Linked DNA regions of Arabidopsis thaliana. The protein of the gene in region 1 interacts with the protein of each later gene in a biochemical or structural test. Each region holds a gene or a part of one and is shown on either strand. Other genes may lie near its edges. The genes, in order: CLV3, BAM2, CLV1 and BAM1.

Region 1 (5,801 bases):
TGATCCAATAAGATATTCATTTGGTCCCCCAACCCAAAAACCCAAAACTCCTAATTAGTCGACGTAAACTAACCAGAAAATTCGAATGCCTAAGCCTATCCATATTATCTGATCAATTACTAACTACAATGGTAATCTAAATTAAATTAAAATAATATTCCCCCTCTGTTCCTTTTTGTTTGATTGTTTAGAAAAAAAATTTGTTTTTAAAAGATTAATTTTTTTAGTTTTCTATGTAATCTTTATTGGTTAGTATAGGTGAATGGTAATTTTTTAAAAAAATAGTTAATTATCATTGGTTTAAAGTTATAGAAAACTGTAAAACATTAAAAATAATACATTTATAATCAATATTTAATATGTTTTCTTAATATGTGTGTTTTTTCTAAACAATCAAACAAAAATGAACAGAGAGAGTAGTAATAACTACAATGTTGATTACTTTGGTATACATGTTTAATATTTTTAATTTCAATGTTAATGCTTAATAATAAATATAAAATAACATTGTATATATCTTGGTCTTATGTTCTTATAGCATTGTTTTAGAATATATATAAACACACTTTATTTTCTTTAAAATAGCTGGTTTTCTACTTTCTAAATTAGTTTTCGTGAAAAAAAAATACGAAATATGTATTTGAAGATATATGTCATACGATTCCAAAGCAAGTTAGATATATCATATATTAGGTCAAAAAGTCTTGGGATGACATTGGAGGAACGAAAGAAATTATAAGAACATTTAATGGTTTTGATAACAATTTTATAATGTTCATCCATTTAGTAAGATATATTTGAATTTGGCAAGAAAAAATACACTTAAAATTATACTTAGAATTAATGGATAAAGCCGTAAGCGTTATTTGAGGTGGGAAAAGTGGTGACGTGAGCGAAATCGCCAGTGTCACATCTCAAGTGTCAGTCTTTACTCTTTTTAAAACAAATATCGTATCATATAGATTTGGTATCATTAAGGATAATAATTAGCTCTAGGTTTGTTATTACGCCATCACCAATTTTTTTATATTATTAAAATATCTTTTCAAGTATGTGTGTCGTTTTGATACTCCTCCACCATTCAATTTGCAACCTTCGATAGAAATAGTGACTACAAATGGTTGTCTTTGACACTGACACTGCCTGTCACTGCCCCAAAGTCGGTTTAATTTATCCTTCCCACCACATCATCGAATCATCATCATCATTTTTATTATTGTATGTTTAATTGTGACTATCACATCCATTAATTATTTGCATTGACAATTGAAAACGTACTAATAAATTTTCCCAACGGTACATTGCTTTGGAGATATACTTGTGTCTTTATTTTGCATTTTATACGTAAAAACCATAAATTTTAACGTATTATATGGAAATAGAAACGTAATGCTATAGACATCTTCGTTTTAAGAGGGTTTTCTTAGAAAATCATGAGATATAATAGTGCGTATCTTACATTCACTTCAGCAACAAACGTAATGCATATCTTACATTCACTTTCATGAAACTACAAGCTTACCAAACGAAACAGATTGCACACAAAAAAGACTCCCGAAATGGTAAAACCGATAAAGCAGAAAGTAATTTACAATATGAAATAATTTAAAGCAACAAGAGATTAGGTCAAGGGAGCTGAAAGTTGTTTCTTGGCTGTCTTGGTGGGTTCACATGATGGTGCAACGGGTCAGGTCCCGAAGGAACAGTCCTTAACTCTTCATGTAGTCCTAAACCCTTCGTCTTTGCCTTCTCTGCTTCTCCATTTGCTCCAACCCATTCACTTTCCATTTTCATCATCATCATCTGCCAATTGAACAACATTTTACTATGTTTTGCACACCATAATAATATATACAAATATTTCTCGTGACAACTAAAGCAATGAAACAGTTGTTGAACTGGACCGGACATCTACATGAACATAACACATGAATATTGAGAGGCCTTAATGAGTACAAGTTGAAGATAACCTTGCGGTTGGAAAGTCCTTGAACGTGAGCATGAGCTTGAGTGAGATCTGGTGAAATAGTAAATAACAAAAAAAAGTTATGTTGAGACTTATAAGAATCCATTTACATGAGTTATAGACATATAGAGGAGTGAAAGAGAGAGTGAGACCAGAAGCATCATGAAGGAACAAGAAGCAGAAGAGTAGTAGTAGTAGCAGAAAACTCTTCGAATCCATTTTTAGAGAGAAAGTGACTGAGTGAGAGAGATAAAGAGAGAAATATAGAAACTGTTCTTTACTTTGGTAATGAAATGAGAAGGGGACAGTCCAATTTATAGCGTAAGCCTACAAGGGCGAGAAATGGGATCTCCTATTTTTTAATTTTATTTGTCCTAAACGTGTATCATAGTTATTAACTATTCAAATATTTTGGTTGGTTTATATATTATGTGTAGTAAGTATATATAGTGGGCATAGAAAAGGTATATGGTACATATATCTAGATCTTATACGAACTTGTTCATGATTTAGCTATAAATAAATTAAATATCTAACATTTACTTACAATTGTGTATTTTTCACTTACTTGCAGTTTTTGTTTCCTTTAACTTATTTAAATTAGCCACTGGAATCAATATTCAAAGTTGTATAAAACGGCAGGGGTATAATTAGACTCAAAGTTCTGGTTCAGTTATAATTAATTCCTAAGTCTAACATGCTGTGGAGGTTCACAACTAATACATATGAAAAATACCGTACACATTGACTAGGTATACCATATATAGGTTACTATAATACAACAGTATGTATACGGCACCGGCACATACTCTAATATATCAATGGTGTTTCTATATTACTACCCATATTTAAAATTCCATTTAAATACATATATAGTTTAGACTTCTTTTTAATAAATATAATTTCATGTATTTAGATTTCTTCTAAGAAATGTGTGAAATAATATTAAACATATAATATTTGTGTATTTAGAAAAAAAAATGTAACCAACAAGAAATTAAACTAAGCTTGTGTCACAATAATAAATAGCATCTAAATATGAGAAGGTAAAAAAAACAAAAACAATATGGATTAAATTGTTTCCAGATTTGTAGAAAAAGAAAAGAGATTCTGATTTGAAAACTTTTAAAGTAAAGTATTACAGTTGCTCTTATAAATTATATTGTTTAATCTGGAAACAGTTATATGCTTAAATTATATTGAACAATATGGATGATACCTTAATCGGATAATATTATTGAGAGTATCAAATCAATGGCAAATCTATTTGCTAGCAGAAAAAACATAAATTGAATGGATTATATGAGCCTTGCCGGCGCCGTATCGAGGGTACCATCGGCTGATGTCATGAGGCAGAGAGAATGATACCTGGAGTACACTTCTGACACGTGCCCATCCGATGGCATCAGATCACAGCCGTCCGATCATACGATATTATATCTCAATTATCTATTCTTTTAAGTTTTAACAGTTTTCAGATTCCGTTTTGCTTCGTTACTCTTTTGGGCCAATAAGGTGCCACTACTTTTTAACTAAATTTTATTTTTTTGCTAACAACTAATTTACTGATTTACCACCAATTATAATAATACCATGGACATAAGTTTTTACTTTTTTTTTGGTAGTACAAAAATGATATTCTTATGTGTTAATGTACTTAGAAAATGTATCTAGTTTTGTTTTTATTATGGATAATCCGGAATTCGATTAATTTTATGGATATGAATATCAAGAACAATTTTAAAGACATTCGGACCAAAAAGATTGAATTCAACACCACCATACTGCTAAAGATCTGCATCAACTCCAAGTCCACGAATTTATTAGGTCTTTTTTTGGCCAACAATTTATTAGATCAGAAGACAATCAAAATTATTGTAAACTTACTGGTAAGTATTATATTAAATTATTACTCATGTCTATTTTTCGTTGGCCAACAATATATTTATTGATGTCGTCGAATCGTTACCGATACAGTGATGTCAAAGAAAGATGAAACAGCCTGGAAAATGCAATGAGAGGGAAGAGAGTAGTAACCAGAAAAGACGAGTGTAACGTTAAGCGACAAGAGACTGATTGATGAATTCATAAAGGTCAATTCTAAGTTTTAAATATTATTACGTTCATTGGTTATATGTCTAATTAACCTACTTGAGTTGAGAGCTGCACACAAAAAGTGTAAACTATGTAAAAAAGGAGGTAAGATTCTGCAGCATATAATATATATCAACTAGTTTGTTAATTATATAAACCAATAAGAAAAAAGTTGCAATCCAAAATCCAAATCTTTTGACTTCTTTCTACTGCCATATCGATCAGGTTTCTTTATTTAATTCTTCCATGTGATTAATATAGCTTATGATTTTAGGCCTTCATTATACCGGAACCGAAAATATGCAATTTAGTTGGAAAGAAAGATTTAAATTTACAATAGTAGATATTTTTGTCGTTAACTGTTAAACTGTTAGAGTCTTAATACATTTCATAATATCATCGTAATTTATGCGAGTGTAATAGTAAATGAATTTTATAGAGTTGGAACCAAAAAAATCTTATTGATCAACAAATACAAAAAAAAATCGTAGAATTCTTTGAAATTTAAGGACAAGTTTCACGTCAATAATGAGCACCATTACTTGCACACTTTCATTTCTCCCACATGTACATGCACATCTAAGAGTTTTGTTATTAGAAACTTTAAAACTGAAGCACCTAACATATGAGTGTGTTCGAAAAAACTGGCATCAATAGTTTTGATATTTGGAGGAGAATATAGAGTGTTAATGTAGTTTGTGGATGAAAAAAGTAAATAAAAGAAAAAGATATACCAATGAAGGATTATCATAATTGTATGGTAAACGAACCCTAGCTAGAGTTGAAGCTTATGTATTACCGAGCGAGAATTTAGTATCTCACATCTTCATGAACTTTTATCAATGCATAGCCAAATGCAATGAGCTAACAAACATATGATGGAGCAAGCGTCACAATTCAAAGCAAAAATTTAATCATTTTTTCGAGCTATTTTTTTTGTTCTTATAAATAAGCCATTTGACTTTCTTCTCAAACTAATCTACTTAAATATTTTATTTGAAATCTAAAATTTGTATGATAGTATAAGATTTTAGCTGAGTTTATTTTCCTTACTTCTCCTTATGAGAAGTTTAATCGCCACCCTCACCATAGATCAACTTCATGTGGCATCCTAAAAAGAGCAAGCATATATTAGAAAAATTAAGCTAAAAAAGCAATTTAAAACTTTGAAAATCTACGGTTGGATTAAGCACGCACTAGTGTGGAATTGCAGCATTAGGGTGCATTAGGGTGATGCTTTGATAACCATCTTCAAAGTAGCAGTGTGCCTTCACTAGATTCGCGTGGTCAGTATAGTGAGCCCACATACTATTCAATTAATCTTTTGGTGACAATCGATTCAATTTCTGAAGAAACTAAAATTTACTCTAAAGACCAAAAACAAAAAAACGAAAACCATTTTAAAAACTACAAACATTCAAGGTCTTCAATTTTTAGTTCTCTTATAATTTAGTGAATCTACTTTTTTTTGGGTTGGTTCTAATAGCAACATCTAAAACTAAAATCTCAAATCCAAAAACTAAATTAAAAAACAACATACATTCATGTAGCCTTACCGCCTTAATAAGCTATGAATGGGCGTTCGGGTATTCGATTCGGTTCCAGTTCGGTTCTAGTTTGGTTCCGATTCTTTCGGTTCTCGAGTTTAGGAGCTTTGTAGGAACCAAAACAATTTTGCTATGTTCGGTTCCGGTTTTAAAGTTTAGAATCCATTAGGATATTTTATTTCGGATATTTTCGA
Region 2 (8,636 bases), on another chromosome or scaffold:
TGTTTGAAAGTTCTTCCCGCGCATTCTGATCCTGTTACTGCTGTTGATTTTAATAGAGATGGGTCTCTCATTGTTTCGAGTAGCTATGATGGGTTGTGTCGTATATGGGATTCTGGGACTGGTCATTGTGTGAAAACTCTGATTGATGATGAGAATCCTCCTGTTTCGTTTGTTAGATTCTCTCCTAATGGCAAGTTTATCCTCGTTGGTACACTTGATAACACGCTGGTGAGTTCACTTGTTGAATTCCTTTCAAAGATTTGATGTTTTTAGTGTGATTACTAGTTTTGCTCTATAGTGATCTCGAAAAAAAGCATGAAGATTTTGGGTAGAGTGTGTTAGTAGAAGTTTGATGTAGGAGAAGCCAATTCAAAACTAAGTTTACAGAGAAGTTGTTAGCTTTAAGTATAGTTCTGTTGTTGGTTGATATTCAAGAGTTTCGAAGGGTCGTATCTAGAGGGTTGTAGCTTCGAAGATACATCGTCGTTTGGAGTTTGATTAATTTGCATTAGGAAATTAAATTCTTATGATTCGTTATTAATGCACTCATCTCTCCATGAACTTAGATTCTAGGTTGTGTGTTAATAGAAGTTTGATGTAGGAGAAGCCAATCCAAAGCTATTTTTGCAAAAATTGTTATCTAGTTAAGGAAAAGTTGATAGCTTTGGAACAGTTCTGTTATTGATCGAGATTCAACACTTTTGAAGGGTCGTATTTAGAGGGTTGTAAGATACATCTTCTTTTGGTGTTTGCGTCTATAGGGTATTGTTGAATAAAGGAATTCTCATGATTCGTTATAAATTTGCAGAGGTTGTGGAACATTTCGTCTGCTAAGTTCCTCAAAACATACACTGGCCACGTGAACGCACAGTATTGCATTTCCTCTGCGTTCTCCGTCACAAATGGAAAGCGAATAGTCAGTGGATCCGAGGACAACTGTGTACACATGTGGGAGCTAAACTCCAAGAAACTGCTACAGAAACTTGAGGGTCATACTGAGACCGTCATGAACGTAGCATGCCACCCGACAGAGAACTTGATCGCATCAGGCTCGCTCGACAAGACAGTAAGGATTTGGACACAGAAGAAAGAATAAATCATCACTCTCTCTCTTCAGAAATCAAACATGTAGGTACATGCCACCTTCTTCATGCAGTAATCATCTGTTGCTTACTAAGCTTGTTAGATTGATTCTAGCCTCATTATGTAAAAGTCTAATTTTTGTTTGGTGTAAGGGAAGTGCAACAGACTGTTCTAAACTTGTAATAGTTCTCTGTGTGACTCAGAACTATTTAGGTAGGTCTTAAGGCAAAGACTCCTGCAAGTGCAAAGGCATTTGAGAGAATGAACACAAATCTTCATAGGTTTACCCTTTACTCATTGTATCTATTAAGCTGATGCAATGCTTCACCAATACTATTGGTTATAAAGTAGTTTCAGGATTGAAAATTGTTCATCTGAACCATATTGATGGGTGGCTCATGGGTCAAAGTACAGATATATGACTATAAGTAGATAATGTATGGTAGTTGGTTACTTTGGTTGGCCATGATGATGAAGCTTATGGTCCCCTGGTCCTGTCCCATTTTTTACTTTTCATTTTCACTTTTATCGTAAAGTCTTCTTTTTTTTAAACCCTACAAGATTTTGAAATGGACCACTTGAAAATTTGAACCCACTCTCTCTTTTTTTGTTTTCAATTTCGAAACCAAAATTTTTTAACAAAAAGATGACTTTGTGACCTTTGTTCTGTCTTTTAGCTACACACCAGTGGGCTGTTTGCTTTTACAGCGTGTCTTTCTGTTTACATGATTCAAGAGAAAGCAACAGTTCCTAAAGACTCAGTCATGTTTGTGTCTCTCCCAATTGATACAAAGACCAAAATTCAGCTTTGGTTCTTTTGTGTAAAAGTTCTCGAGATATGCTAATAAGATTAAACATAAAAACTCTCAAAAAGAGTATAAATTGAATTCTTTATGATTGTAGTAGCAAACAATAATTGTTAGGTTTAGTGCTATCATAATAATCTATTAGTCAGGTTAAATATATTCGATTTGGTACCAAATACGAAATCAAGCTTCAACAAACGAATCTGCAATACACACACACCCATCCAAAAGTATATCTTCGACATTTTCCCCAAAAAAGTATACATTTCCTAACACGTGCTTACCAATTCTTATCATTCGAAGTAAACCATTAAACAAGAAATGTTTTCATTATTATAAATTTTTCACTAATATAAGTTTATTATTTAGTGCAAGAAAGTGCGTTGCAGATGAAAACTTATTCTATTGATCCGGGTCCATAAAGAAGAAAACAAAAATTCACCTAATACGAGTACGACTTATTCTAGTGGCTACATATTTCCCTAATCATGTGACTAAAAATCTGCTTTCAAAATTTTGACATTCAGTATTTCTTTAGATCTATATCATTAAAAATTCATTTTTTTCTTTTGCATTTTGATTCCATATTTAATACAAGATTAAAAAAAAAAAAACTAATATGTTTGTTCACTGAGCAAACCATTATTGTTGATCAGTGAACTGTGGTAACTGGCAAAAGAAGCAAATGATTCGAAATCCTACTTTCTTACAAAATCAAATTGGATAATTTTGTGAGATAATAAAAAATCAGTATAAATAAAATAAAATACATGTCGGGAAACCATTATTGTTGATCAGTGAACTGTGGTAACTGGCAAAAGATGAAAATGATGCACATAGGACTGTGTTTAACTGACTTACTTCCACTAATCAAAAGTACGATCGTATCCCTACCCATCTCTCGAGGATCTTAACTGTTGCCGTGCGTCATCTCAAGGTTGTTCTCGTCATTATCAGTCGATCAGAGTACAGAGACCGGCTCTCTGGGTTTTGTCGATCATGCCATTGCCTTGGGGCTTGTTGTTGTGGTCCGTCCTAAGGATAGAAATGTTATTACAAAGCTTTTTAAGGGGTTCTTTGGTTAATTAAGTGTTTCGTTTTGCTTAAGAGAGGTTAAAGAAGCGGGTGTCTCAATAAGTTTTGGTAAGTTTGTGAATCCCCAGTGGTGGACTCCATCTTTTCCCGTCGAATTATAACATCAGGACCGTTCATTTCAACATCATCAATTAATTCATTATGGGGTTTATCTTTAAAACATCTTTTTGAATTTATGGTTCGCTTTGGTATTGCATTATTACACTTGTATACCTGTGTAATAAAGTGTTGGATTTTGTCAAGATTAGGTAACATCACGTTTCAAAACAACAAGGCTCCAAATTAATTAACATTTTCTTCATGTAATTATCGTTTTTGAATCCCTTCCTTTCTAATTCCATGTTTCATTAAATCCACCACATGCATATGTTTCTATATATGTTAAATAAACGACTTTTCAAGTTTTTAATTTGTGTTTTCTATTTTCAGAAAATTTATGTGAAATCAAAGTTTCTTAAAAATCTCCCTCCAAGTAAATTCCAAAATAAAATAAAAATAATACTTTTACAATATACAAATAAAACTCATAAAAAACACACACACAATCTTCATCTTCCTCACTTACTCTCACCCTTTTTAAAACCAAACCCTAACTTACACAGAAAGAGAAGAAAAAAAACAAAAAAAAAATGAAGCTTCTTCTTCTCCTCCTCCTCCTCCTTCTCCTCCACATTTCTCATTCCTTCACCGTCGCTAAACCAATCACCGAGCTCCACGCTCTTCTCTCACTCAAATCCTCCTTCACCATCGACGAACACTCACCTCTCCTGACCTCATGGAACCTTTCAACAACTTTCTGTTCATGGACCGGTGTCACGTGCGACGTCTCTCTCCGTCACGTGACCTCTCTCGACCTCTCAGGTCTTAACCTCTCCGGAACTCTCTCCTCCGACGTAGCTCATTTACCTCTGCTACAGAATCTATCACTCGCTGCTAATCAGATCTCAGGTCCTATTCCGCCGCAAATCTCCAATCTCTATGAGCTTCGTCACCTCAATCTCTCCAATAATGTCTTCAACGGTTCATTTCCCGATGAACTCTCCTCTGGATTGGTGAATCTCCGTGTTCTTGACTTATACAACAACAATTTAACCGGAGATTTACCGGTTTCACTCACTAATCTCACTCAGCTCCGTCATCTTCACCTCGGTGGGAATTACTTCTCCGGCAAAATCCCGGCGACGTACGGAACCTGGCCTGTTCTCGAATACTTAGCGGTTTCCGGTAACGAGCTAACCGGTAAAATCCCTCCGGAGATCGGAAACCTAACGACTCTTCGTGAACTTTACATCGGATATTACAACGCTTTTGAAAATGGTCTTCCACCGGAGATTGGAAATTTATCAGAGCTTGTTCGGTTCGACGCTGCTAATTGTGGTTTAACCGGAGAGATTCCACCGGAGATTGGGAAGCTTCAGAAGCTAGATACGTTGTTTCTTCAAGTAAACGCATTTACAGGGACAATAACTCAAGAGCTGGGATTGATTTCAAGCTTGAAATCGATGGATCTGTCTAACAATATGTTTACCGGCGAGATTCCGACGAGTTTTTCACAGCTGAAGAACTTAACGCTTTTGAATCTCTTCAGGAATAAGCTCTACGGTGCTATACCTGAGTTCATCGGTGAAATGCCGGAGCTTGAAGTGTTGCAGCTTTGGGAGAACAATTTCACTGGTAGTATTCCTCAGAAATTGGGGGAAAATGGTAGATTAGTGATTCTTGATCTCTCTTCGAACAAACTCACCGGAACTCTGCCGCCGAATATGTGTTCTGGTAACCGGTTAATGACGTTAATCACTCTTGGCAACTTCTTGTTTGGTTCAATACCGGATTCGCTTGGTAAATGTGAGTCTCTGACCCGGATCCGGATGGGTGAGAATTTCCTTAACGGGTCGATTCCAAAGGAGCTCTTCGGGTTACCTAAATTATCTCAAGTGGAGCTCCAAGACAATTACCTTACCGGAGAGTTGCCAATAAGCGGAGGAGGAGTCTCTGGTGACCTTGGTCAGATTAGTCTTTCTAATAACCAGCTCTCTGGTTCATTACCTGCAGCTATTGGAAACTTGTCCGGTGTTCAAAAACTACTTCTTGATGGTAACAAGTTCTCTGGTTCGATTCCTCCCGAGATTGGGAGGCTTCAGCAGCTATCTAAGTTGGATTTTAGCCACAATCTGTTCTCCGGTCGGATCGCACCGGAGATCAGTCGTTGTAAGCTGCTAACGTTTGTTGATCTTAGCCGTAATGAGCTCTCAGGTGATATTCCTAATGAACTCACAGGTATGAAGATCTTGAATTACTTGAATCTTTCAAGAAACCATCTCGTTGGTTCCATACCTGTGACGATAGCATCAATGCAGAGTTTGACATCGGTTGATTTCTCTTACAACAATCTCTCCGGTTTAGTTCCCAGCACTGGACAGTTTAGTTACTTCAATTACACATCGTTTGTGGGTAACTCTCATCTTTGTGGTCCGTATTTGGGTCCTTGCGGCAAAGGAACTCACCAGTCTCATGTCAAACCTTTATCTGCTACTACGAAACTGTTACTCGTCCTTGGATTGCTCTTTTGTTCGATGGTGTTTGCTATAGTGGCCATAATCAAAGCTCGGTCCTTGCGAAATGCGAGTGAAGCCAAGGCATGGAGATTGACTGCTTTCCAGAGGCTAGACTTCACTTGTGACGATGTCTTGGACTCTCTCAAGGAAGACAACATCATCGGTAAAGGCGGTGCTGGGATTGTCTACAAAGGCACTATGCCTAAAGGCGACCTAGTCGCGGTCAAACGATTGGCTACAATGTCCCATGGATCTTCCCACGATCACGGGTTCAACGCCGAGATTCAGACGCTAGGTAGAATCAGACACAGACACATCGTGAGACTGCTCGGTTTTTGCTCCAACCACGAAACGAATCTCCTTGTGTACGAGTACATGCCTAATGGTAGCCTTGGAGAGGTTCTTCATGGAAAGAAAGGAGGTCATTTACATTGGAACACACGTTATAAGATAGCTCTTGAAGCAGCCAAGGGTCTTTGCTATCTCCACCATGATTGTTCCCCGTTGATCGTCCATAGAGATGTTAAATCCAACAACATCCTCCTCGATTCCAACTTCGAAGCTCATGTCGCCGACTTTGGTCTCGCCAAGTTCCTCCAAGATTCCGGTACTTCTGAATGTATGTCCGCAATTGCCGGCTCCTACGGCTACATAGCTCCAGGTAACAAATTTGCAGAAAATGGCATTTAATCAAACACTTGGTGGTGAAATGTAAAATCTCTGAACTTGTTTGTTCCTTGTTGAGCAGAGTACGCGTATACATTGAAGGTAGATGAGAAGAGCGATGTGTATAGTTTCGGTGTTGTTCTTCTAGAACTCATCACCGGGAAAAAACCCGTCGGAGAATTTGGCGACGGCGTTGATATTGTTCAATGGGTGAGAAGCATGACGGATTCAAATAAAGATTGTGTGCTCAAAGTAATCGATCTTAGACTCTCTTCAGTTCCAGTTCACGAGGTAACACACGTCTTCTACGTTGCGTTGCTCTGCGTTGAAGAACAAGCGGTGGAGAGGCCGACGATGCGTGAAGTCGTTCAGATTCTCACTGAGATCCCAAAAATTCCTCTTTCGAAGCAGCAAGCGGCGGAATCAGACGTGACTGAGAAAGCTCCGGCGATTAATGAATCGTCGCCGGATTCAGGAAGTCCACCGGATCTTTTAAGTAATTAGACTTTCCGGCGATTGGGTTTGGTCATTGAGGGGCAAATTTGTCTTTCTAATTTTCTTGTCACCGACGTCTCGGTAGTGGAGTTAATTACTTAATTAGCCCGTTGTTGTCTGGTTCCGGTTAAGGCAACAATTAGTGGTTTAACTCTTAAGGTTGTTGCATTTCTTTTTTCACTGCTGCCACAATTATTCGTGTAGGAATTTTGAATATGTACATTGCGGTTGAATTTTGCATGATAAGTGGTTAATTTCAGGAAATCGAATTTCGAGAACATTATGGCTTATGCATATCAGCATATATATACATGCAGTTATGTATATGATCAATCTGCCCCCGGTTCAAGTATGTCAATTGTGTTAGACCAAAAAACACTTTTGCCCCTTATATTCTTAAGAACTTCATTTAGTTTCATACTCAAGCAAAAACTAATTTTTTAGAGTTTTCGTTGTCTTAAAATGAAACTAGTGTCTCCATTATGCTGGAATCTTGCTTATGAGTTGTTACATTACATATTTTATTCTCACCTTTGCTTTTACCCTTTTGGATTGTATCTGGTTGTGGTAGCTGTTGTGTCACAACAAGACATTCCATGTGAAAAAAACACAGAGAGGGTGAAACCAAGGTATGAATGTGTTTGTGTGGGACTGAAGATGAGTAACGCTGAGAAGAGAGAAAGTGAAAGCTCACTCACAATTTGTCCAATTATTGCAAATGTATGGGTAGTGTGACACTAGTGTCTTAATGAATTCAGATGGTCCTAAGATCTTTTTTCCACTCTATTCCCTTGTCTTGAAGCAAAAATCTAATTTTAGACGAAGCATTTATGACATCTCCCTCTCATTAATTACAAGCCATATATTCAACTTTGATTTTGACTCATCAATATCAAAAAATCTTTAGACTTTAGGTGTTGTTGCTATCCTTGGTATCTAGTACTTTCTTCGATAACCATGACTATTATATTGAGATAAGAAAGATATAAAGAACAATAAGAATATTAGTTATGATATTTTAGATGTATTATGTTCAAAATTTCTTACGTTCGAATGTACATTGATGATCTTGTAAACCTAATTAAGGAGTGCCTAACTCTAGAATTAATAAGTCAGGAGTTAGTTATCAAGAAACTAGAAAGACTTGAAGATGGATTAAAGTGGTAATTAATGTTTTTCAGAGGCCAAGATTCTAATTAAGAGATGGGAAATGGCATGTTCCATTCTCTAGCTTCATATATACACTTATCGGGTGAAACTACCAGATTACGAATAGCCATTAGATGACTAACAATTGAATTCAATTTAAATCATCCAAAGATATATTTTATATATTGAGATTCTTTCTTCATCTCAAACTTCTAAGTTCTAACATAGTCATGTAGTTGAACTTTCGGGCCGAGGCCCATAACAACTCCATCTACTTAAACGAAGGTTAGATAAAGGGACGAACAAAAAGAATCAGTCTGGTGTCAGAAACTAGAGTATGTACTTTTGTGTTTGAATTGTAACGTTTGTTTCTTTCTTCAGCTCTTCATTGGTTTATCGACACAGTACTTATGTCACTCCAATTGTGAGAAAATCATTCTGCACAGTCGTTTCGAAATCAAGGAAATCAAACAAGAGCAACAACAATCCAAAGAGTACCAAAATATATTTGGCTATAGAGAGCTATCATTGTCTTGTACACTTGTCCATGTTGGGCTATAGATCCATATTTGTGTTGGGCTAGGCTCAGTTTTTCTTAATAACACAAACTTACTTATCAAACACGTGTTGTCTTTTTGGTTATTTAAGTAGTTGACAAACAAAAGTACAAATAAGCTGTTAGGGCAAAGGAGCAAAAACGAAACCACAGAGAGAAAGCCTCCGTCTCCCTTATCAAAGAAGAAGAAGACGTGTATAACAAAACACTAGACACATTGTGAAGATAGAA
Region 3 (8,791 bases), on another chromosome or scaffold:
TTTGTTTCCGTAAATACATCTTTTGTGTATATATTGTCTTGTAGAAAGAAACATTGATTAAGTAGAGAAATAGGATAATCAATCTCTGTACTTAATACATCATCCATTGAAACAAGTTAGGAATCGATCCAATATGAGGCTCTGCAAAAACAATTCAGGAAAAGATTCTGCAAAAACAATTTAGGAGAATGAGTGAAATCGCAGGGGCAATTTCGTCAATTTATTTCCCAAAAACTGCCTATCTTCATAAACTCAATCATAATGTGCTCTTTCTCTAATTTATGGCCCAAAATGTACCCAATATTATAAAAGCCCCCACAATTAAGCACCAAAGAGTTTTGGTACATTAACTTGGGAGGAAACAGAGACACTTGTTAACTGGTAAGGCAACATTTCAAATTCCATATCTTGTTCTCTCAAGTCCAATGCATTTATCCTTGCACGCTTGATTGTTTAAACCATTTAGATTAATGGGTTGGCATTGGTCACGCTGATCCAATGTTTCAAATGGGTAAGTGAATGTTGATTGCCGACGTGACTGAAGACCCAAGGCCCAACGACCTACTGGTCCAGGTTGACTATGAACAAAAGAACTAGATTTTTTTTTCCCCTACATTTTAAAGAAAATACTTGATGAAGATGTGGTGCCTTTTCATAAGATCTAAAAAGTTTCAAATCTTTACGATGGAACAAAAAGTGAAAGGTGAAGTAAGGGTCATTTGGGATTGAGAAGTTTCTTCGTCCAAAATCATTGCATGAGTTGAATAGATTTGGGATTAAAGCTGCCAATACAAGAGGATTCGGTAATGACTGAAGCAAAAGCCCAGCAGGGCCATTAGGCAAACACCAGTTTCCAAGACGGATTTGTGTAAGACCACTTATGACACAAGTTTGTCTTCACTATCATCATCTTCTTCTTCTACTTCTACTACTACTTTTGTAGCCTTGTCGTTTTTATCATTAACATGATTGACAAGACTATGACCTATATATCTTATTATTATCATTGCTCTCTCTATTTGTTTATATTGATTATTACTTTTTGAGATTTTTCAATGGTTTTATCTCTAACTAAACATTATAATTAGTGAAACAAGCTTAGTAGAAGTAAAAGTATTATTCTATGCTAAAGTACATTGATTAGTAGAGTGTGTAATTGTGTATACAGATAATCTATAAACAATTGGTGCATCTGTATATAAAACTTTATGATTTATTTATTGTATTTAATAAGTATATGAATTGGGTACCTAACTTTCTAAACAGTTCCAAATTTATTCTTAAATCAAATTGCATATGATTTTTAAATATTTTGAGACGATTTTATTATAACGCAAACAACAGAGTAAAAGAAGCATATGTTGCAAATTGTACTATGGCAAGTTCAAATCGAAACATTTTTGTGAAAATCAAACATGTGAACCAAGCTTCTACAGTTTAATTCCCTTTCGTATAATTTAATTTCAACAAATTTATTGATATCCATCTAGAAATTGGTCCAAAGTTCTTTCACCCTTGAGTCATTTAGTGATAAAGATGACATGATTTTTGGTGATAAATTTTCCATCGTTGCTATATGTCGTTATATTATTCTCCTATATGTATATTATACTATTTACATCAGAAAATAATCCAAAGTTTAGAGATTCTTTTTTACAATAATAAAATTTCCCACTTACTAAAAAGAGCTCCTTTTCTGCTGAAGAGAACCTAAACCTTTATTCCCAAAGTTCATTGAGTTAGAGCATTTTCAGCGAATCACATAAGAGATGCTCTCTTCTTCATCACTAATTGACATCTCATTGTTTTAAAGGTTGCACTTGTACCTGTTGATCTGATTCTCAATCCACTTAAGTTAAACCAAATAGACACGAGAAAAAAGCACATTTATTTGTTGCTAAGTATGCATATTTTTCAGCGTTTACTTCTTAATCTAATGTATATCATAAGATAATATCTAAAAGAGAATGCACAAAAGATTATTAATATGAGAAATTCGCTGCCATTTAGGAAGGACCTTTATACCAATATACCGCAATAATAATAGAACATTGGTCCCCAAGTGTATGTCAACCCCAAGTGTATAGATTTCTTTAAAGATTAAAATCCCTTTTTGTTGCTAAAGCACCTGATATATTTTTCTATCAAACTAAAAAAATTGTTAGCGGGATGAAGATATATTCGCCAAGAACCATAGTGCTTGTATAACGGCAGACCATTAATTCACAACTATTATTATTTTATTGTTAGATTGTTGATAGAATCGATTTTGATTGTGGCAGAATCGATCTTGTAAAAACTGCTTTAAGGTGCTTACTTATAATTAAGAAAGATTCACTTATGTAAGTTAAGCATATTAATCATATCATTCGGCCTAATTCATTAGGAATATTTTGCTATTCGTTTTGCCATCATTAACAACAAAATTGACACGTTTTCAGCCAAAAGTATTAACAACTAAACCTAAAACTTCAAACATTAAATAGTTTTTAGTATCTTTAGTTTCAAACTAGTGATTTGTCCTAATATCAACACTACGAACGAATTTATATACATTGAACTTTTTTCTGAATCACCGATTACAAAACGAATATAATTTGGTATCGGCAGTTGCTATTAATTTGATCGGTTTGGACTTTGGACTAATCACGATCAAATCTTAAATGGACCGAAGTGAATAAATCCCTAATGTTTTCAAGAGAGTCACACGAACGAAACAAAGGTAAAATATGAACATAGAGCGTGGGGACCTTGAAGCAGAAGGTCTGTATGGTGACAGACCGGTGAGTGGAGTGTATGAATGAACGAGAAGTGAGAAGACAAAATACAAGAAAGAGCGTTGACTTGGAAGTTAAAGCCAAAAAAACCACAAGGGGCAAATTTGTCTCTTTAGGAAAAGGACACAGACAGACTTTCTATACGGGCCAATTAGAAAAATAGGCCCTACTTCTAATTAAAGCCCATTTACTTCTCTCCTTGTCTTCTTATTCCTCTTTTCTCCCCATCACGTGACGACGATGCTATAAACGCCGTCGGATTATATAACTGGTGCCGTTGACAAGACGGCGACAGAAGAAAGAAAGAAGAAACCACAGGCTCTAGGGAACGTAACGTTATGTCCTGTCTATAGCATTTATAACGGTCAGATCAACGCCGTTTAGATAAAGATCTGTCAATGTTAAAGAAGAGATGCATCTCTACACCGTTAAATTTAAAACGCCGTGAACCTCTTATCTATTGATTTTTGTTTGATGAAGCCAAAACAAATCGTGTCAGAAGACTTATCAGAGAAGAAGAAAACGACGACGTTCCCGTTTCTCCATGTCTAATAAGTGTAGTAGTGGCGGCTACTAAAAACTCTAAAGTTTGACTCCAGTAAAACTGCCTTTCTAGTGTAATTCCAGTGATTTTAGAGTTTGAATAGTGTGTGACCAAATTTGAAAGTACAATCTCAGCAATATTATTGATCACTCGTTATAAAAGAATCGAATGTAAAAATAGCCAATGAGAGACTGAGACGTATGTGTTTGACCATAAGTCGTATAGTTTGTATCTATCTACCTGCAAGATCAGCAGATGGTTCTCTGATCAATTGTACCTTAATTATCTTTTATTTTCGTAAAATTTCTCTATTCACAAATGATAAATCTACTTAAGACAGTAACCATAACAAGATTTACAAGATAATTTGAAAAATGAACACATAAAAGTATTTTGGCGCATTATTTTTAATAATAACAATATTTATGTAAAGTCACATAAAAGTATATATTCGCTCACAAAGTCTTACGGTATTTAGAACAGTAGTACCACATCGATTCTCTTCATCTTCTTCTTCATAATATGCCATTGTTCATGTCTCTGTGTCCTATCGCATAACACTCACGCTATCTTATTATTTTCTCTCGCTCTTTCTCACTGAGAGGACACTAAAAAAATGGCGATGAGACTTTTGAAGACTCATCTTCTGTTTCTGCATCTGTATCTATTTTTCTCACCATGTTTCGCTTACACTGACATGGAAGTTCTTCTCAATCTCAAATCCTCCATGATTGGTCCTAAAGGACACGGTCTCCACGACTGGATTCACTCATCTTCTCCGGATGCTCACTGTTCTTTCTCCGGCGTCTCATGTGACGACGATGCTCGTGTTATCTCTCTCAACGTCTCCTTCACTCCTTTGTTTGGTACAATCTCACCAGAGATTGGGATGTTGACTCATTTGGTGAATCTAACTTTAGCTGCCAACAACTTCACCGGTGAATTACCATTGGAGATGAAGAGTCTAACTTCTCTCAAGGTTTTGAATATCTCCAACAATGGTAACCTTACTGGAACATTCCCTGGAGAGATTTTAAAAGCTATGGTTGATCTTGAAGTTCTTGACACTTATAACAACAATTTCAACGGTAAGTTACCACCGGAGATGTCAGAGCTTAAGAAGCTTAAATACCTCTCTTTCGGTGGAAATTTCTTCAGCGGAGAGATTCCAGAGAGTTATGGAGATATTCAAAGCTTAGAGTATCTTGGTCTCAACGGAGCTGGACTCTCCGGTAAATCTCCGGCGTTTCTTTCCCGCCTCAAGAACTTAAGAGAAATGTATATTGGCTACTACAACAGCTACACCGGTGGTGTTCCACCGGAGTTCGGTGGTTTAACAAAGCTTGAGATCCTCGACATGGCGAGCTGTACACTCACCGGAGAGATTCCGACGAGTTTAAGTAACCTGAAACATCTACATACTCTGTTTCTTCACATCAACAACTTAACCGGTCATATACCACCGGAGCTTTCCGGTTTAGTCAGCTTGAAATCTCTCGATTTATCAATCAATCAGTTAACCGGAGAAATCCCTCAAAGCTTCATCAATCTCGGAAACATTACTCTAATCAATCTCTTCAGAAACAATCTCTACGGACAAATACCAGAGGCCATCGGAGAATTACCAAAACTCGAAGTCTTCGAAGTATGGGAGAACAATTTCACGTTACAATTACCGGCGAATCTTGGCCGGAACGGGAATCTAATAAAGCTTGATGTCTCTGATAATCATCTCACCGGACTTATCCCCAAGGACTTATGCAGAGGTGAGAAATTAGAGATGTTAATTCTCTCTAACAACTTCTTCTTTGGTCCAATTCCAGAAGAGCTTGGTAAATGCAAATCCTTAACCAAAATCAGAATCGTTAAGAATCTTCTCAACGGCACTGTTCCGGCGGGGCTTTTCAATCTACCGTTAGTTACGATTATCGAACTCACTGATAATTTCTTCTCCGGTGAACTTCCGGTAACGATGTCCGGCGATGTTCTCGATCAGATTTACCTCTCTAACAACTGGTTTTCCGGCGAGATTCCACCTGCGATTGGTAATTTCCCCAATCTACAGACTCTATTCTTAGATCGGAACCGATTTCGCGGCAACATTCCGAGAGAAATCTTCGAATTGAAGCATTTATCGAGGATCAACACAAGTGCGAACAACATCACCGGCGGTATTCCAGATTCAATCTCTCGCTGCTCAACTTTAATCTCCGTCGATCTCAGCCGTAACCGAATCAACGGAGAAATCCCTAAAGGGATCAACAACGTGAAAAACTTAGGAACTCTAAATATCTCCGGTAATCAATTAACCGGTTCAATCCCTACCGGAATCGGAAACATGACGAGTTTAACAACTCTCGATCTCTCTTTCAACGATCTCTCCGGTAGAGTACCACTCGGTGGTCAATTCTTGGTGTTCAACGAAACTTCCTTCGCCGGAAACACTTACCTCTGTCTCCCTCACCGTGTCTCTTGTCCAACACGGCCAGGACAAACCTCCGATCACAATCACACGGCGTTGTTCTCACCGTCAAGGATCGTAATCACGGTTATCGCAGCGATCACCGGTTTGATCCTAATCAGTGTAGCGATTCGTCAGATGAATAAGAAGAAGAACCAGAAATCTCTCGCCTGGAAACTAACCGCCTTCCAGAAACTAGATTTCAAATCTGAAGACGTTCTCGAGTGTCTTAAAGAAGAGAACATAATCGGTAAAGGCGGAGCTGGAATTGTCTACCGTGGATCAATGCCAAACAACGTAGACGTCGCGATTAAACGACTCGTTGGCCGTGGGACCGGGAGGAGCGATCATGGATTCACGGCGGAGATTCAAACTTTGGGGAGAATCCGCCACCGTCACATAGTGAGACTTCTTGGTTACGTAGCGAACAAGGATACGAATCTCCTTCTTTATGAGTACATGCCTAATGGAAGCCTTGGAGAGCTTTTGCATGGATCTAAAGGTGGTCATCTTCAATGGGAGACGAGACATAGAGTAGCCGTGGAAGCTGCAAAGGGCTTGTGTTATCTTCACCATGATTGTTCACCATTGATCTTGCATAGAGATGTTAAGTCCAATAACATTCTTTTGGACTCTGATTTTGAAGCCCATGTTGCTGATTTTGGGCTTGCTAAGTTCTTAGTTGATGGTGCTGCTTCTGAGTGTATGTCTTCAATTGCTGGCTCTTATGGATACATCGCCCCAGGTTAGTTACATGTCAACAACATTAGTACTCACCAAAATGATATATGTTCTGATTATCATTTTGTTTTTGGTTTGCATAGAGTATGCATATACCTTGAAAGTGGACGAGAAGAGTGATGTGTATAGTTTCGGAGTGGTTTTGTTGGAGTTAATAGCTGGGAAGAAACCTGTTGGTGAATTTGGAGAAGGAGTGGATATAGTTAGGTGGGTGAGGAACACGGAAGAGGAGATAACTCAGCCATCGGATGCTGCTATTGTTGTTGCGATTGTTGACCCGAGGTTGACTGGTTACCCGTTGACAAGTGTGATTCATGTGTTCAAGATCGCAATGATGTGTGTGGAGGAAGAAGCCGCGGCAAGGCCTACGATGAGGGAAGTTGTGCACATGCTCACTAACCCTCCTAAATCCGTGGCGAACTTGATCGCGTTCTGACCCAAGCAAGATAAATATGAAAATAAGATGCGAAATGTGGTGATCATTTTTTGGGTGTTCTTATTTATGGTTTCTAATACTTTCGGGTTTGTATATTTGTTGTGTTTCAATTTGTATATTACCTCTTTATGTGTTATTATCTCGAGTATGTAATGTAATCAATATGCTTATTGCTTGATGGCTTTAAACTTTAGCTAATTCTCCGTTCAGAGTGTATAAAATAAAAGAATGTGAGAGCTTTGACCTCTGGATTTAAGTCTAGACTGTTTAGAATATGTGAATTAGGGTCATATCTAAATTCAGGTTTGTGTTAGCTTCCGACAGTGTCATGTTGCAATCTTGACCTTACTTACAAAGTATTTACCAGCAGATGGCTCGGAAAATAAAAAGGAAACACATCTGATAAAAAAAAACACGGAATCAACAGACTAATGGTTGATTAAGAGATTGGACTCGTACTCTGCATTTGGAATAATGACCAGTTTCATTGAGTTCTTGGGGGTCATTCACTTCTCATATTTTTACGAGCTAAGAAAATCACCTCAGGGTCATAACATTGTAGTTTCTGCTCTTGAAGCAAAACACACATAAACTAAGAAACCGGAAAAATTCACAGAAATCAACAACCAAGAAGCTTTAAAAGTTCATGAACAACAGAATTCAACCTCTATAATGTGCATTTTCCCACAAGATGAGGATGATGCTGTGAAGCTAATTCTATCCATAACTCTTACCTCCATTCATAGAGCAATTCAGAGAAGAAGACAAGGCACATAGTCACAACTTATAAACGGGTGTGAGAAGAAGACAAGGCAAATTAGTCACAAATTCATTAAGGTAGAGAAACAAGATCCTTCATTACTCTGTTTTAGTCTCTTCATTAAGAATCATATACAATTTAAATCACAAAACTTTCAAGGCCACAATCTTGATTAACTTGGAAAGACCTGAGTTTCATTCAGATTTAAACAACACTGCAGCTCTCAAAATTCAAAATCGATTGTATAAAGAAAACAAGAACATCTATCATCATCATAATCACTATCCGATTTTACAACATATCAATACAAACAAAAACCTCCCAGCTTACACGAAGAAGAACATCATTACCTTATTCCTTAACTCCGAACACATGTTATTTAGATTACTCTGTTTTAGTCTCTTCATTAAGAATCCCCCAAAATTCTCAATGCCACAATCCTCATTCAGTGGTAAGACTCGAGTATCAACATTCAAATTTGGATAACAGTGCAGCTCTTAAATTCAAAATCCATTTTTACTTTTAAAAACAAGAACATCATATCTATAATCATCACAATCACTATCCGATTTTACAACATATCAATACAAACAAAAACCTTCCAACTTACAAGAAGAAGAACACCATTACCTTATTCCTCATCATCATCTATTACACAGAAAATCTATGAGAAACGTATATATCTAACACATGTTATCTACTTCACAAAAGTCAAAATAAAGAGGGAAAATTCGAAGTTTATATACTCAGAAAGCACCGTAAGGTATATGTTGTGGAAGCCTAAATCGAACCTGTGAAGCCGGAGACCGAACCGCAACGCCGTGCCAGCAAATCCCTCCTTTACAAATCGCACCACCGTCGTGATGGTGACGGTGGTGGCTAAGATCTTCCTCACCACCAACACGATTGTACCGAGAAACCGCCTCCGCTGCTCTACGAGACACATCCCAAGCAAGCGTAACTGCAAGCAAAACACCAACTGCCGTAATCGAAACGACGACGACGAATCCAGCGCTGAAACTCCTCCCGGTGATTAATCCGTAGGCTTTAATCGCGATAATCACCGCCACGT
Region 4 (8,870 bases), on another chromosome or scaffold:
AGGAAGAATTAGAAGAAGCGTTGTTGAGACTGCGTGAGAGCGTCTCTCATCTATTTATTTATAAGGGGAGCAAAGAGGTTCAAAAGAAACAAGGAAATTGCTAATCACAATTAACAACGGTCACAATCACATAATATTTGACAAGATAAACTTAACGGTCACATAATATTTGACAAGAAACACTTAACGGTCACATAAAGATTTCCTTTTTTCCTTGGATGGCTTTTCATGAGTTTGTTTCCTTTGTTTGTTAGTTGTTACTGTGAGAGAATCTGATGAGTTTAATTAAAGTGAAGAATTCACTCATTGCATGATCCGATCCTCAAAAGTATGTATACTAACCACAACAATCATGATTGTCCATCAAATTTGTCTTTTTTTAATGTTCTTTTGTCAAGCGGCCCACAAACCCACCAGCTTGCCCCAATAAGCATCATCACAGGGCGGGCTTGAACTCTACATATGTCCATAAAATATCGGGCTTGCGGGTTGGCCCGCGAAACAAATAGAATTTGATGGAACCTTCTGCTTCGTCTAGAGGATCTCAAACTACTACAGTACTCTAATTTTCAACTAAACCTAAAACTCTTCAGACTTCAGAGGATTTCATACCAAAATTTCGATTCTAAGTTAAATTGTTACCATCCTGTTCATACATTCATCAATTTTTCAATGTGGTATCATCCTTTTCTTTCTAGTGTAAATCTGTTTTGATTGATTCTAGCTTTCATTAGTTGTCTATTGGATGTAGAAGGTGCGATACTGTTGTAAAAGAGACACAAACTCAATCTGACACCATTAGGTATAAGTAAATCCTGCAAATGGAAAGTGACTTACGAGTGGTAATAAATATAATGTTCAGAACATGTTTCCTCTCTAATTCTCTCTGTTTTCCCAATATTTAAAATACAGTTTCGCAAGTATTGAAAGTGTTTTAAAAAGTGATCATACATAGTAAGAGTAACTCGTAGAGAGAGATAAGTTATGGGAACTGACTGTATCAAATTAGTTGGACCATGTTTTATGTCCGTGATGGTCGGACTCAGAAACAGAGTGGTGATGTGAAGATGACATGTTTATGGTCCCATTTTCACTTTTATTGGGTCGTGTTTCACCTTTCAAATGAACCACTAGAAAATTGAAGCAACTTTTTTTTTTCAAACCAAAGGAAAAAAGATGACTTTGTTAAGACCTTTGTCTTGGTTTTTTTTGCTTCATCAAGCGTCGCTTTCGCAACATGTTCTCTCTATTATTACATGATTTCAAAACAAGCAAAACATATCACTGCCTAATTCTTAACTTTGTGCTTCAGTCTTTCCATAAATAATAGTTAACTTTCAAATTCCTAAATGTACTAAAATCAACTATGGTTGTTGAGCTTTATTATTCTTCCGTTTAATCTTGGTTCGAAAGAAAAAAGATATGGTATAATCATTCCATTCATATACGTATTACTAATCATAGTTATCTTTTTGGTGAGTAAAGAGATTTGAATCAAGATTGTGTGTTGGTAATAAGAATCCTTATAGAGATGTGCATTTAAGGAGACAGAAAGGAACACAGCACGAGACGATGCGGTTAGAGAATAAACAAAACAAAAAGAAACTTGGTAATGGATACAACGTGATTCCATCGTTAAACAACTTTGCTTTTGGCTTTGGATTCTTCTCTATTTTAACTCTTAACCCAATGTTATCTCATTATCCTTCATCTCAATCTATTTTTCTATTTACTTAAATTTGAGTTTTCAAGACACTTTTTAAAAAAATGAAAAAGGGTTAGAAATAGAGAAGAGAGTAAGAAAGAAGTGTAAAATCAAATAAACGAATCTCATTAAGCACCTACTTCCCACATCTTTCTTAAAGTTTCTTACATAAAGCTCCCTTCACACGTGCTTACCAAATCAGATTGTCAATAATTCTTGCTCAATAATTTTTCGAAATTTATTTGAATTTATCTAATAAAAATACATTGTTTGAGTATGATATTTTGCTTAAGAAGGTTGATTATTCTCCCTATCAAAGTCTAAAAAGAAGATTACAAAACAATTGTATGGTTAAATTCATATAAATTTGTGACTAGTATTTTAATATTTACATATATACAAATACTTATAGATGAAACGAGAATGCAGAAATGATTATAGATAGATCAGTGACAGTGAACTGTAGCAACCGGCAAAGAAACCTCGTTAGCTGGACACACGATTACGATCATGCCCCCAGTCTCCTCTGTCCAGACGGCTGCATTAATAACAACGAGCTAGAGGGTGTTTTCGTCTTTTCGATACTTATCCCAAAACCGACAATCTCTGGTTTGGACTCGAAGGCTGATTTGGTCAATTCATAGCAACCGAACGAGCAGTCCATTCAAGTCCAAAGAGCTCCTTAGTGGTAAAAGATGTAATTACGTAGATGTTCCATGGTCAAGAATGTATTCAGTCAAAATAAATATTTGACCAAAACTTTCGGTTAATTTCCTACCACCAGCAAAATTATAACTTTTTCTAATAATTATCAATCATTTTCAATCTCTTTTAATTTTCTTTTTCACTTTTTTTTATTAATTAAAGTCAATTCACACTATACAAAAAGAAGGAAGTCTAAATATTTTTTTACTTTCATGTTGCTTTTCTAACTTTTATATTTTGCTCTTCTCAACAGATTTTGCTGGTTTTTGTATTAGAAATATTATTATGTTTCCAGAAATGAATTTTTTATATGTCGTCTGGATTCGTATATATATATTGGAAAGTGAAATTAATTCATTTGATTTTTTTCTTTGATATATCGACCAAATCAAATAAATACGACCCCATTGTGGCATTGTTAATGCAAAAAGGCACAAGTACAAAAAAAACATAATAATTCACTATTTTATTTACAGACACATGGGCCCAATTCATACGGCCCAATTACCATAAACCTCTCTTTTAAAGAGTGGGTTCCACAGTGGTAAACTTTTTGACTATCCATTGGAATGATTGCATCTGGACCGTTCATCTACATTAATTATTGGGTTTTTTCGCTTTAAAGCATCAATTAACTTATTACGTATAGGATTAGATTACCAATAACGATCTTTTTAGCTTTTGTCGTTTTCCGATAAAACCATACGATTAAGAATATGACCTCTTGTATCTTTTGAGGGATTTTAGTTAATCTTTCTACATTTATTTTGTTGGATGCTCATACAATTATCCTGTGTCTCTCAAAATAAAACAAAAATTACTCTATTTATTAGTACATTACACATGATTATTTAGAAAATGTATATTGTGGTCATATGAAATGAGAAATTAAAGGAAATTTGTCAATACTTGAGAACATCACCATTCAAATGTTTCAAGAACAACATGACTCCAAAACAAAATAAATGAACCTTTCCCTAATAATAGTATATTCTCCATCGTACAAAGTTCTAAATAATACAATATTCATTTCGTCAAAGCATATGATGTGTTGGAATCAGAATTATCTGCAAATGTTTGAATTTCAAATGTTAGTATCAGGCTATTTTTACTGTTTTATCAAATATCGTTTCTTCTGCAATCTATCACTTGATTGTTTTATCAAATCAGCACTAGTATTATTGATTTTGTAATTTGTGTTTGTCTACCTCCAATTACTTTTTAGTGTTATGATTAGTAATGTAATAAAATCACAAATCTGACGTGGCACCTATATACAATTCCAAAAACAAGTGGAACGAATATAAAACAAATTCACACCTTCCTCATCTTCTTCTTCGTCTTCACTTACCTTCTCTCTACACTCACACCATCTCACAACCCTAATCTCTCCCACACAAGAGAGATAGAGAGAAACAATGAAACTTTTTCTTCTCCTTCTTTTTCTTCTCCACATTTCTCATACCTTCACCGCAAGCCGACCAATCTCCGAGTTCCGTGCTCTCCTCTCACTCAAAACCTCTCTCACCGGCGCCGGAGATGACAAAAACTCGCCTCTCTCTTCCTGGAAAGTCTCAACAAGCTTCTGTACATGGATTGGTGTCACGTGCGATGTATCTCGCCGTCACGTGACTTCTCTTGATCTCTCCGGTCTCAACCTCTCCGGTACTCTTTCCCCAGATGTTTCTCATTTACGTCTTCTTCAGAATCTATCACTCGCTGAAAATCTAATCTCCGGTCCGATTCCGCCGGAAATCTCGAGCCTTTCCGGTCTTCGTCACTTAAATCTCTCGAACAATGTCTTCAACGGTTCGTTTCCCGATGAGATTTCTTCTGGATTGGTGAATCTCCGAGTTCTTGATGTCTACAACAACAATCTAACCGGAGATTTACCGGTTTCCGTCACCAATCTGACTCAGCTCCGGCACCTTCACCTCGGTGGTAACTACTTCGCTGGAAAGATCCCGCCTTCGTACGGAAGCTGGCCAGTTATTGAGTATCTAGCGGTTTCCGGCAACGAGCTTGTCGGGAAAATCCCTCCAGAGATCGGAAACCTAACGACTCTCCGGGAGCTTTACATCGGCTACTACAACGCTTTCGAAGACGGTCTTCCTCCAGAGATCGGAAATCTATCGGAGCTAGTCAGATTCGACGGAGCTAATTGCGGATTAACCGGTGAGATTCCGCCGGAGATTGGGAAGCTTCAGAAACTCGATACGCTTTTCTTGCAAGTGAATGTCTTCTCCGGTCCATTAACTTGGGAGCTAGGAACGCTATCGAGTTTAAAATCAATGGATTTGTCTAACAACATGTTCACCGGAGAGATTCCAGCGAGTTTCGCAGAGTTGAAGAATCTCACGCTTTTGAATCTCTTCCGTAACAAACTTCACGGCGAGATACCGGAGTTCATCGGAGATTTGCCGGAGCTTGAAGTGTTACAGCTTTGGGAGAACAATTTCACCGGAAGCATCCCGCAGAAATTAGGAGAAAACGGTAAACTAAATCTCGTCGATCTCTCTTCCAATAAGCTGACCGGAACTTTACCGCCGAACATGTGCTCCGGTAACAAGTTAGAAACTTTAATCACTCTTGGAAACTTTCTCTTTGGTTCAATCCCTGATTCTCTTGGTAAATGTGAGTCTTTGACCCGGATCCGAATGGGTGAGAATTTCCTGAACGGGTCAATCCCAAAAGGACTATTCGGATTACCCAAATTAACTCAAGTGGAGCTCCAAGATAATTATCTCTCCGGAGAGTTACCAGTCGCCGGAGGTGTCTCTGTTAATCTTGGTCAGATCAGTTTATCAAACAACCAGCTCTCAGGTCCATTACCTCCGGCGATCGGGAACTTCACCGGCGTTCAGAAACTTCTTCTTGATGGAAACAAGTTCCAAGGTCCTATTCCTTCAGAGGTAGGGAAGCTTCAGCAGCTCTCGAAGATTGATTTCAGCCACAACTTGTTCTCCGGTCGAATCGCGCCGGAGATTAGTCGTTGCAAGCTCTTAACGTTTGTTGATCTGAGCAGAAACGAGCTCTCCGGTGAAATCCCAAATGAGATCACTGCTATGAAGATATTGAATTACTTGAACCTGTCGAGAAACCATCTGGTTGGATCAATCCCTGGTTCAATCTCGTCAATGCAGAGCTTAACATCTCTTGATTTCTCTTACAACAACCTCTCCGGTTTAGTTCCGGGAACAGGACAATTCAGTTACTTCAACTACACATCGTTCTTGGGTAATCCTGATCTCTGTGGTCCTTATCTTGGTCCTTGTAAAGACGGTGTTGCTAAAGGAGGTCACCAGAGTCATAGTAAAGGACCTTTATCAGCTTCTATGAAGTTATTGCTTGTTCTTGGACTACTTGTTTGTTCGATTGCGTTCGCGGTAGTAGCCATAATCAAAGCTAGATCATTGAAAAAGGCGAGTGAGTCACGGGCTTGGAGGTTAACAGCTTTCCAGAGACTAGACTTCACGTGTGACGATGTCTTGGATTCTCTCAAAGAAGACAACATTATAGGCAAAGGAGGAGCTGGTATTGTCTATAAAGGCGTAATGCCTAATGGTGATCTAGTCGCGGTTAAAAGACTCGCTGCAATGTCTCGTGGATCTTCCCATGATCACGGCTTCAACGCAGAGATTCAAACCTTAGGAAGGATAAGACACAGACACATAGTGAGGCTTCTCGGATTTTGCTCAAACCACGAGACGAATCTACTTGTCTATGAGTACATGCCTAATGGTAGTCTCGGTGAGGTGCTTCACGGTAAGAAAGGAGGACACTTGCATTGGGACACACGTTACAAGATTGCTCTTGAAGCTGCTAAAGGACTCTGTTACCTTCATCACGATTGTTCTCCATTGATCGTTCACAGAGATGTCAAATCAAACAACATCCTCCTTGATTCAAACTTTGAAGCTCATGTTGCTGACTTTGGTCTCGCTAAATTCCTTCAAGATTCCGGTACTTCTGAATGTATGTCTGCAATCGCTGGCTCTTACGGCTACATAGCTCCAGGTACTAAAATCTTCAAAAAAAGTTTCTAACTTTACAATCTCTTGCTCTGTTTTTCTCTTTAAAGTTTCTAACTTTACTATCTTTTGCTCTGTTTTGGTGTTTGTGTAGAGTATGCGTATACGTTGAAGGTAGATGAGAAGAGCGATGTGTATAGTTTCGGTGTGGTTCTTTTGGAACTCGTCACCGGAAGAAAACCTGTCGGAGAATTTGGAGACGGTGTCGATATAGTGCAATGGGTTCGTAAAATGACTGATTCGAACAAGGATTCGGTTCTGAAAGTATTGGATCCGAGACTTTCTTCGATTCCGATTCATGAAGTGACGCACGTCTTCTATGTAGCGATGCTCTGTGTAGAAGAACAAGCTGTTGAGAGGCCGACTATGAGAGAAGTTGTTCAGATTCTCACTGAGATCCCGAAGTTGCCACCGTCGAAGGATCAGCCGATGACGGAATCAGCGCCGGAGAGTGAGCTTTCGCCGAAGTCTGGTGTTCAAAGTCCGCCGGATCTACTCAATCTATGAGAGTTTTCTGATTCACGGCGGTTAATTTAGGGTACCGGTATAAGGGGTAAATTTGTCTTTTCATAAATGTTATTAGCGATGAGATTTGGTTGTTAATTTACTTTAATCCCTCTTAGTACGGTTTGTGCTTTGGTCCGGTTTAGTAGGTTTTTTTTTGAAAGAAGGTTGTTTAAACTCTTTTTAAGTGTGTTTCATTTTCCTTTTTTATGTTTTTAATCGGTATTCGGCTTTATTTAGTTTGTAATTTGTGTTAATGAAAATGTACAGTTGGTTTTTTTTTGAAGGAATTTCAAAATATCTTGAAAAGAGTGAAATGTGTAATGTGAACACTCTTGCATGTCTTGCTATAGAGTCACGCATCTGCAACTGATATGAACGATCACCTTCTTTATTGTTTTTAGGTATTTGACTTTGTTACAAAGATTCAAATGTAGCTACTAACACCTGCAATAACCTGAAAGAAATTTCATCAAACAGAAATTATATTTGATCTCCATCAACAAGATGTTTGAGAGCGGTTAAAGTTGTGGTTGCGTTTGCGTTTGGTGAAAATGTTAACTTGGAAGAATAATTAAAGAGGAAGCATGTGAGAGGTCAAAGGTATAAATGTGGTGGGGAGATAATGATTGGTTTTGAGTTAATATGAGAAGCCTATAAGGTGATATTTCTCCCACATGCAAAATATATACCAAAGTCTTTAAGTCTTTAATGATTTTGATGAGATCTCTTCTCTATTCCCTGCTCATGAAGCAATTTCTACTCTATGTAAAGCATTTATGATTTCATCGATCACTCATAAATATAAGCCACACCCAACTTACATTAATATGGTTTTCATTTGGCTGTACGTAGTTTCCAATGATGATTGTAGATCTAAGTCTAGGTTTTAATGAGAAAATTGGACCAAACAAACAAAATTGTAGCTATCTTCGTGTTTGTTCACATTTTGGAGATAACAGCCTAACTAGATCATGGGCTAAGTGTTAGCTTTGATAGGGATTCTCACGTAACTCTATGATAACATATTGCACTAAAATGTGATTTAGTTCACTCACTAAGTTAGTGACATTTCCAAAAAGTGTCATCCACTTAGCAAATTCCGTTGCTATGTTTATGATTCTTTCATTACTATACTCCAAGCAAGAATTTGACGAGTGATACTGCAATTTTATCTTTTTCATAAACGTAACGTTTATTTCACAAACAAACAAAAAGTGTTTTTGTAATTTCCTTGATGCACACATCAATTGCGTGTGTGTTCACGATTTCATCACATATACAACAACTATTTTCCATTTCACTGTGCGTCCATGGGATATTCATGTTCGATGGATCATAAAGGTAAAAGACTCAGGAAAAACAATAGTTAATGTCATTTCATATCAGCTTTATATTCTCACATTATGCGTAATTTCCGGACAAAAGAAAGCTATTAATTAGAAACTTTTTTTATCTCAAAGAATTTTCGTCTGTGACAACTCATAAGCACTGAAAATTAGACTACTCCAATTTTCTAACTCAATTTACTCTGTGTCTATGCTATAGACCTATCAGTTATGTAGCACATATAAATATCAATCCAAACATTTTAATTGGTAAGTTTTAGGGGTGAAAATGCCACGTGGAATTTATGATTGTGATGTGACAGAGACACGTAGAAAGAAGAAGGAGTGCACTGTGTTTTGAATGGGTCCGTTTTGTCTTTATCTTGGCCTTCATTGTTTTCCCCGACATAGTTATGTCCCATCCCTCGTAGTTGCTAAAGAGAATCCTTACACCAAGGTAAATTACAATAACAAAATTTAGAAATTTAAATTTATCAATTGATCTGATATGTGAAATGCAGTTTGTATACATTTGGTATTAGCCGCTCAATTTTCTTAAAAGATTTCAGAATTTAGTGTAGGTGATTAGGTATAATT

What was found.
Region 2: the proteins of CLV3 (region 1) and BAM2 interact in a test that uses a peptide from one of them, tested with the Arabidopsis thaliana proteins (one study listed by BioGRID).
Region 3: the proteins of CLV3 (region 1) and CLV1 interact in a test that uses a peptide from one of them, tested with the Arabidopsis thaliana proteins (3 studies listed by BioGRID, with this or other methods).
Region 4: the proteins of CLV3 (region 1) and BAM1 interact in a test that uses a peptide from one of them, tested with the Arabidopsis thaliana proteins (one study listed by BioGRID).

What each region holds. Positions count from the first base shown.
Region 1 is NC_003071.7:11,663,560-11,669,360, forward strand, and holds CLV3 (CLAVATA3), read right to left. Parts: upstream 2,239-5,801; 5' UTR 2,186-2,238; coding exon 2,119-2,185; exon of another isoform or gene 2,073-2,118; coding exon of another isoform or gene 2,018-2,072; coding exon 1,971-2,017; exon of another isoform or gene 1,912-1,970; coding exon of another isoform or gene 1,804-1,911; coding exon 1,627-1,803; 3' UTR 1,419-1,626; downstream 1-1,418. UniProt on the Arabidopsis thaliana protein: Extracellular signal that regulates meristem maintenance.
Region 2 is NC_003074.8:18,414,128-18,422,763, forward strand, and holds BAM2 (Leucine-rich receptor-like protein kinase family protein), read left to right. Parts: upstream 1-3,440; 5' UTR 3,441-3,613; coding exon 3,614-6,200; intron 6,201-6,287; coding exon 6,288-6,709; 3' UTR 6,710-7,136; downstream 7,137-8,636. Other genes in the region: WDR5a (Transducin/WD40 repeat-like superfamily protein), read left to right, coding at 1-228, 809-1,096. UniProt on the Arabidopsis thaliana protein: Necessary for male gametophyte development, as well as ovule specification and function. Involved in cell-cell communication process required during early anther development, and regulating cell division and differentiation to organize cell layers.
Region 3 is NC_003070.9:28,461,799-28,470,589, reverse strand, and holds CLV1 (Leucine-rich receptor-like protein kinase family protein), read left to right. Parts: upstream 1-3,618; 5' UTR 3,619-3,937; coding exon 3,938-6,527; intron 6,528-6,606; coding exon 6,607-6,959; 3' UTR 6,960-7,246; downstream 7,247-8,791. Other genes in the region: AT1G75810 (uncharacterized protein), read right to left, coding at 8,466-8,791.
Region 4 is NC_003076.8:26,277,998-26,286,867, forward strand, and holds BAM1 (Leucine-rich receptor-like protein kinase family protein), read left to right. Parts: upstream 1-3,713; 5' UTR 3,714-3,828; coding exon 3,829-6,427; intron 6,428-6,535; coding exon 6,536-6,948; 3' UTR 6,949-6,968; exon of another isoform or gene 6,969-7,094; 3' UTR 7,095-7,416; downstream 7,417-8,870. UniProt on the Arabidopsis thaliana protein: Necessary for male gametophyte development, as well as ovule specification and function. Involved in cell-cell communication process required during early anther development, and regulating cell division and differentiation to organize cell layers.